Linked DNA regions of Sus scrofa. Each later gene encodes a partner of the first gene's protein in a complex. Links are inferred from orthologs where the notes say so. Each region holds a gene or a part of one and is shown in the gene's direction. Other genes may lie near its edges.

Evidence for each region. Proteins that work in one complex are often made in the same cells at the same time.
Region 2: the proteins of YWHAG (region 1) and CAMKK2 are in contact, whole or in part, in a crystal structure (PDB 6Y6B), measured with the Homo sapiens proteins. The link is inferred for Sus scrofa from reciprocal best matches to the Homo sapiens genes YWHAG and CAMKK2. Residues at the interface, in NP_036611.2 of Homo sapiens: Ser46, Val47, Lys50, Asn51, Arg57, Arg132, Tyr133, Gly174, Leu177, Asn178, Val181, Glu185, Ile222, Leu225, Asn229, Trp233; in NP_001257414.1 of Homo sapiens: Leu99, Ser100, Leu101, Gln102, Glu103, Arg104.

The regions. Positions count from the first base shown.
Region 1 is NC_010445.4:9,993,317-9,997,611, forward strand, and holds the start of YWHAG (14-3-3 protein gamma), read left to right. Parts: upstream 1-1,485; 5' UTR 1,486-1,717; coding exon 1,718-1,804; intron 1,805-4,295. UniProt on the Homo sapiens protein: Adapter protein implicated in the regulation of a large spectrum of both general and specialized signaling pathways. Binds to a large number of partners, usually by recognition of a phosphoserine or phosphothreonine motif.
Region 2 is NC_010456.5:31,348,820-31,352,467, forward strand, and holds part of CAMKK2 (calcium/calmodulin-dependent protein kinase kinase 2), read left to right. Parts: intron 1-646; coding exon 647-668; intron 669-795; coding exon 796-884; intron 885-2,119; coding exon 2,120-2,319; intron 2,320-3,206; coding exon 3,207-3,260; intron 3,261-3,648. UniProt on the Homo sapiens protein: Calcium/calmodulin-dependent protein kinase belonging to a proposed calcium-triggered signaling cascade involved in a number of cellular processes. Isoform 1, isoform 2 and isoform 3 phosphorylate CAMK1 and CAMK4. Isoform 3 phosphorylates CAMK1D.

The DNA.
Region 1 (4,295 bases):
TTAAAAAACAAAACAAAAACCAATTTAACGCCACTTAACAAATTCTGAATCCCTTGAGGGTAAGGTTCCACGCCCTGTTCCAGAATCAAGCCTGGAATAATTCTCCGAAACTCCTTTATTCTCTGGTCTCATACACAACACTTCATATTCACTGTTTTAAAAAATCCCTGGAAATTTCCTTGTGGGAAGTAGATTAAGGATCTGCTATTGCTGCAGCTGTGGTGCAGGCTTCAACTGCAGGCGTGGGTTTGATCCTTGACCCAGAAACTTCCATATGCTGTGGGTGCAAAAAAAAAAAAAATTCTTTATTACTTTCTAAAGTACTCTACACACTTATCTTTACTTTGCCTATTTTCTTGGGCAGGGATTTTATTTGATTTGTTCTCTGCCGTACCCTATTGCCTAGAACAGTGCCTGGAACATTGTAGGTGTGCAATAAGATAAGTGCTGGATAAACGAAATAAAACGTGCAGTCAAAACTGTGGGTTGTGTGAGCTACATGGAATGTCAAAAAGGGAAGCACATGAGCAAGAATTAGTCAGATTGACCTCAGCGTGTATATTCTAGGCGGGCAGAAAAGAGTTGGTTAACCCCTACACACAACCCAGTGTTGAGCAGCCATTGGCTAACTGAATTGAATCTTTAATGCTCCACCCTGGAGAGGAAGGAAGGGGCTCACCAGGGGTAGACCCGCAAACTACTGCTGTATCCTTTCTACAAATTGACCAGGACGCCCTCCTGGTATTTGTCTTTCCAGATTTCCACCTGTCAGGTCCAAGAATCTCAAGGTGGGGATGCGGAGGGAGCTGGAACCTTGTGGGGGAGGGTGACAGTCCCCCAAGGTTTGGCTCCTTAATTCAACCATCCCTCAGGCGGTCACCACCCTCACAGTTTTAATCAATAGTGTACGGACCCCACCTCTCCAGACCCCCACCCCCCTCCATGTCCTGCTATTTTATCTCAGAAACATGGTCCAGGGCTGAGGCCCTGGCCCCCTCCTCCAGTAATTTCCCCAAGCATGTGGGGCGGGGCCGTGAATCAGCACTCACTGGGACTGATGCATCCTCCGTCCCCGCCAGGGGTCCCCAGCGGCCGCAGAATTAGGAACCCCCCCCTCCCCGTCCCATCCTCCTCTGTCTGAGCGCTACGACAACAGGGAGATGTAGTCTTGGCTGCCCCTTTGTCCCTGATCTCCCCAACGTATCGCCGCACCCGAGGATGAACTACAACTCCCAGGGGCCCAGGCGCCGGAGGCCTGAGAGGGCCGCGGTCTGCAGGACGAAGGGTGGGGGCCGTCTGGAGAAGATAGGGCACAGCAGCCGGGGTGAAGGGAAGCACCCGGCTCGTTGGGGGGCAGCGGGGAAGGAGGGGACGCCCAGAGAGCGGCGCCGAGCTGAGTTGGGGAGGGGAAACCCAAGGAACGGAAGGGCCGGGGCGGGGGTGCGCGGGCGGGTGGGCGGGGCCGTTGCGTCACGCGGCGTGGGCGGGGCCGCAGGGGGTTGTCCGCCCGCGGCACGCACAGCAGTCGCAGCCGCCTCGCGCCCGGTCCCGCGGTCGCAGCTCGAGCCGCAGCCTCTGCGCCGCCACCGTCGCCGCCTCAGCCGCTCGCTTCGTGGGTCGGTCCCTCCGGCACACGGGCTCCAGCCGCGTCGCAGCCGTCCCCTGAGCCCCTCAGGCCGCCCCGGTCTCCTTGCCCGGCCCGACCCAGCCCGTGAAGATGGTGGACCGCGAGCAACTGGTGCAGAAAGCCCGGCTGGCGGAGCAGGCGGAGCGCTACGACGACATGGCCGCGGCCATGAAGAACGTGAGTTTCTCCTCCCCTCCCCCCGCCTCGCCCCAGCCCCTTTGCAGACGCGGGCCTTCGTCGGCTCTTCCGGGGGACTGGTTGCCTGTTGCAGCTGCAGGTCTCTCGCCCCTGAGGGAGCTGGGGAGGGTCCCGAGAGCGCTGAGGACCGGGTGTGACGCGGCCTCGCTCCGAGCGTCCCCCGGGGCCGGCGGCGCTGTCTCCTCAGCCCTCCTCGCGCTCGGGCTGGGGCGGGGTCTTGCAGGGCTGGTCTGGGCAGCCGGCTCTCCGGCCGCCGCGCCTTTGGCTTTGCCGGGGACCTGAGCCGGGGCCACGCGCATCCTTTGTGCCCCACTTCCCCTCCTCCCAGCCTGGGCGTGTGGGGGCGGGGGACCGCATGGATGCGGTTCCTCTTTTCTCCCTGGTGTCTGGGCGGCGCCTTTTCCATTCACTCAGCAGGTCTCCCGGTTTTCTGATGCTCCCCCTCTCCCCAAATCTTCCCACTGTCTCTCGAGACAGGTCCTTTAGAGTCTCCCCGGTAAAAACGTAGGCTGTCCTGAAAACCTGGGCGCAGTAGTACAAAATCGAAACCTCCTTGCTCACGTTTTTCTTAACAAAAGGCTCCTCTTTCTTTACCTCAAAGCAAGCCCTCTTGATTTTAGGAAGAGGGGAACGTTTGTTTGGCTAGCTTTTTCATTGATTGTTCTTAATATGTTATCTCTAATTTTTCCTAGTGTTTTTTGTATTGAAAAGGGTAGGTATTGTCTTAAAAATAAAGGTTGTGAATTTAGCTGACTGGTTCAATTTGTGATAATATGCCGTTTCTCTTTTAAACACAGGCACACATCTGTTGAAATTCCTATAAGTTGAAAAAATATTCTCTCTGATCTGATACTGCAAACAAAGCGGTGGTGGGAGGCAGTATCAAGTCATTCCAGAAGATTCTGCATTTGTCATATTGCAGAGAGCCTAGACTGGGTGGAGGCTGGGAGGAGTTATTTTAAAGGGGAAAAAATATCTTTTTTTTTTTTTTTAATTTGTTTTGTTAGATATATCTGAGGCTTAAAAAAAGCTATCACATCCTTATTGGTGATGAAAAGAGAATACTGATCTCCAGTTGTCGCATTTTGTCTGGGATGCAGATTCCTGCCTGTATTGCACCATTTTGTAACACTACATTTGTCTAATGGGCAGACAACCAGTTTGATGGTGGGGGGGAGTATTGACCATTATTAAATGAAACCTAGAAAATTATCTAGTGATTTAGGTCTCCCACTATTTTAATAAATAAGTTAAATACTTCTTGCCTTATGTAACAAAGGTTTTAAAGTGCATCTCCTGTGTGTAGCAGATGCAGGAGTGTACCTTGCGTGTTAAATCTTTTTAATGAAGCAGTGTAGGTATTACAGATTCATTAATTCTTGAATAATTTTACTGGTTCACAAAAGATGACAATACTGATGCCTTTATATTTAAGTCATCTACATTAATAAGGGGTTTTTATTCCCTTAAGGAAGAGAATTGACTCTGAAATTGGGAGCACTGCTTTATTAAGAGACTGCTACAGTTGCTGTCTTTAAAGTGCAAATGATAGAAGTTATACTTTAATAGATATCAGTATCTTCAGTTCAATTATTTAGACTCTTCTAATTTTTCCATATTTCTAGTTTCACAGGAAAGCGAGTGACCTCGCACCTATATCCATAGCAACCCAGTGATGTCACACAATGACACAGAGGCTGCAATGCACCTAAGGGCTGGTAGGGAGTATTCAGATGGCATTTGTCCAAGGTAATGCAGAAATTATCAGATGAGCCAGGTGGAATTGAGTACTTTATGTTCTATCAGATGAGAATTGGTCCCCAAAATAAAGTATTTCATTTATCCTTAGACTTGCAAATCAGGGACCTCTAGATATGCCTGTTCTCCTTCCTATTTCTAGTTTTCTCAAAAGTTTAAGGATACAGTAGTGTTTTTAAACATTCATCTCACTATTAAAATTGGGCAATGAAGGAATAAAGTTAAAAATTTTAAGCAATTTTTTTGTGATCATAGTGCAGGGGTGGGTTGTATACATGGCTTTATTGCAAATTATTAATGTGGCAGGTTTTAAAAAAACCTTTAAAAAATTACAACTTCCTACTCGGTCATTTTCAGTAAATGTCAGGGAATGAGAATCCGTTTCAGAACACTTGAGCTTGGGATTGGGAAAAGTTTTCTTTTGCTGTGTTGATGCTTCTGCTCTTTGACGACAGAGCATGGAGGAAAGAACAGTTCATAAAATAAAGCAGACATTTTTCGAACCTGTTTACTGTGATTCTGAGGGTTAGGCTTACCTTTGACCTTCACTTTCTTCCTCTGTAAAATGGGTCAATACCTACTTGAAAAAGTTGCAAGGATTAAATAAAAACTGTAGATGCTTTAAAAAAGTAACTGTTTCTTCCTCTCTTTGTAAAGGTTATCACTGAATTTGGAAAATAGAGGAAGATACAAAAAAAAAGTCCTTCCCTTA
Region 2 (3,648 bases), on another chromosome or scaffold:
TATTTTTATTTTTTTAGGGCCATACCTGAAGCATATGGGAGTTCCCAGGCTAGGGGTCCAGTCAGAGCTGCTGGTGCTGGCCTACACCACAGCCATAGCAATGCAGGATCCGAGCTGTGTCTGCGACCTACACCACAACTCATGGCAACGCCGGATCCTTAACCCACTGAGCAAGGCTGAGGATTGAACCCGCATCTTCATTGATATTAGCTGGGTTCATTACTGCTGAGCTACAGTGGGAGCTCCTGAGAGAATGTAGTTTAGCATCAGTCATTTCTCTGGAGCCCTCAGGTAGGAGAGGAAAGATGAAAGGAGCCAGGAGCAGTCCAGAGTCCACTATCTCCGGTTCCCCTGCTTTGTGTTCTCTGGCGTGGGGTCCTTCCCTGTTTTGAGGACTAGAAGTACAGCCAGCCTCGTATAGTCCCAGTGACACCAGAAATCTCTGATCCCTAGCCACCAGATGGGAATTTAGAAAAGCGGAACCTTCAGTAGCTCTGGTTCAGTGAGCTATTTCTCTCCCCAGCCCCAGTAGTAGATTCAGTGCTTCTCGATGTTTCTAGGGGTAGGAGGGGCTTGGGGAGCAGGGGGAGGAAGATGGATTTCCAGTTTCCCAATGTAACCACTCACTCCCTTCTCTATCCTACAGTGTTTGAACTGGTCAACCAAGGGTGAGTGTCCCCATTCCCAGCAGGTAGGCTGCCTGAAGCTTCTGAGCTGCTAAGCTGCATGAGGTGGTGCAAGAGGGCAAAGGCCCGCGCGTCTGGTTTGCACTTCATGCATGTGTTGACTTTTCAGGCCTGTGATGGAAGTGCCCACCCTCAAACCACTCTCTGAAGACCAGGCTCGATTCTACTTCCAGGATCTGATTAAAGGCATCGAGTACTGTAAGCAGGGCCTGCGGGAGGACCCTCACCCAGGGGGGTGGTGAGCATGCCCTGGTGGTGGATGGGAAGTGGAGGGTTTCCTACTTCCCTCCTGGAGCCCAGGGATGTGGGCAGGAAACAGAATTGTATGAGATGCAGAGTCACCGAAGGTTGCAGATAGCTCTCCTGGGGCCACACTATGAGCAGAAACCCTTCTGCCACACAGAATAATGAAGAGAAATAGTGATAGTGACCATCCATCCAGCACTTTCTTATGTGTACCAGGCACTGTTAGGGACTCTCACTTGCATCATTCTTTATTCCCAGCAACCCTGGGATCCTGCTGACCTCCTGGAATCTTCATTCCTTGTATGTAAAGTACGAGGTCAAGGACTGAACCTGCGTCCTCATGGATAGCCACAGTGGGAACTCCTGAGAGGATGTAGTTTATTTTTATTTAGTATAAATAAAATAAAAGAGATACTTTAGATAGCATGAAGTATCTCTCACCAGGGCTGAAGTCAGCCCGGACATCAGTAGTTCTGATTGGCAGGTGTACTTTCTACTTCCGGTTGTTAAACATTTTGACTCATACTCTTTGCCTGTTACATAGGATTGTTGTGAGATTGGAATGAGGTGAATGGGAGAGGCCCCTGACTGCGCATTCAGCAAAGGCAGCTGTGGCTTCTGTTACCAACATCATCATTTCATTGTCACCACTGCCACTACCACCCCAGAAACGCAGTTGGGTCTTCCAGACCATAGGGTCATCCTCTCCCATGGGCTGACGTACAGTGGGGAACAGTTAGCCAAGTCTCCAGTCCTGTTCTGTGCTTCGCACCTCAAATTGACCTGCTCTAGTCACTGTTGGTTTGGTGAACAGGTTGAGTAGTGGCATTAATAAATGAAAATATGTTTGATTATTACAAGTCTTGATACTTCTAGTTGGGAGTCAAGCTGAACAACAACTTTCTCATGCACATGTGACTTAGACTATAGCAGGTGGTTACCAGTTGCTCTGGGCAGTCTCGTGTCTCACCCCTTCCTTCAGACAACAAGACAGCTTCTTTTGAGACACTCCTCTTGTCTTACAGAGTGTTCAGCAGGTTTGGGAGGGGAAGGCTGGGAAGAGCCTGGGGCCTCAGGAGAACAGTGAGGTTCCTGCCTGTGTCTCTGGGCCATGTGGGCTACGTGGAGCTCCTCACATTGTTTTTCTGGCCCCTGTCTCTCCCATCCTGTGTTGATGCTGCCCCCAGTACACTACCAGAAGATCATCCACCGGGACATCAAACCTTCCAACCTGCTGGTGGGAGAAGATGGGCACATCAAGATTGCGGACTTTGGTGTGAGCAACGAGTTCAAGGGCAGTGATGCCCTCCTCTCTAACACCGTGGGCACACCCGCCTTCATGGCGCCCGAGTCACTCTCAGAGACCCGGAAGATCTTCTCTGGGAAGGTAGGTTTGGACCTGCCTGAGATGCAGAGTTCTACCTGTGTTAGGGTCCTTTCCATTTTAAGTGGCAAATACCCAGCTCACTGGCTTTAAACAGTGAATCCATCAGATCATATGGATGAGGAGTGGGGTGCGTTTGGCTTCAGGCTTGGCTAGACACAGGGATTCAAATAGGAATCCATCTTGCCATCTCTCAGCTCTGTTTTCTGGAATTCCTCCTCAGGTGAATGGGTCATCAGCAGCTCCAGGCTACTTTCTATCAGTTTACCAGCCTCAGTAGAAAGAGCATTGTTTGGGAGTTCCCGTCATGGCGCAGTGGTTAACGAATCTGACTAGGAACCATGAGATTGTGGGCCGACTAGGAACCATGAGGTTGTGGGTTCGGTCCCTGCCCTTGCTCAGTGGGTTAACGATCCGGCGTTGCCGTGAGCTGTGGTGTAGGTTGCAGACACGGCTTGGATCCCGTGTTGCTGTGGCTCTGGCGTAGGCCGGTGGCTACAGCTCCGATTAGACCCCTAGCCTGGGAACCTCCATATGCCGAGGGAGCGGCCCAAGCAAAAAAAAAAAAAAAAAAGAACATTTTTCTTTCTGAAGAGCTCCAGCAAAAATCCTGGGGTTGGCTCTGATTGGCCTAGCATGGGCCATATGCTCATCCTTGAGCCAATCACTGTGCCTAGGGGAAGTGTTGCTCTCATTGGCCAGGCCTGGGTCATGTGCCTAACTAGAGGCTGGGGATTGAGGGGCAGGAACAGCTATGCCCCTGTTCTGAGCAGTCAAGAAGAGGTGGTTCCCCAAAGGAGAGCTGGGGGATTGGATGCTGGGCAGTAAAAGCTGTAGACACCTTTTACTGCTCCTCATCCCCTCACACAGAACTCTTTTTTTTCTTGCAGGCATTGGATGTTTGGGCCATGGGTGTGACACTGTACTGCTTTGTGTTTGGCCAGGTAACAGGCTGGGATATCTTGTATCCTGGGGGTTGTGGATGGGCCCCCTTGGATTAATAGTTACCTCTGCAGTTAGATAGTGCTTATTCACTTAAAAGTTATTTCATTTTATTTCCACAGTTAGATCTGAATATGAAAAATTATGCCTTCCCAAATGCACATAGCTCTATGTGATAGTCATATCTGTTGACAAAATGAACAGAGGATTAAAACAGAAGGATTGGCAGAGGCTCTAGTTTATAAATTCAGTAGTTGATGAATTTAGGGCAAGAAAAGCAAATGTGCTACCTCTGCCCACTCCTAAACCAGAAACAGGCATGCCTAATCAATAACTACTCTTTTCTCCTGAGCCCAGTTTTGCTTTGATGTTCTTCTCCCAGTGTTCCTA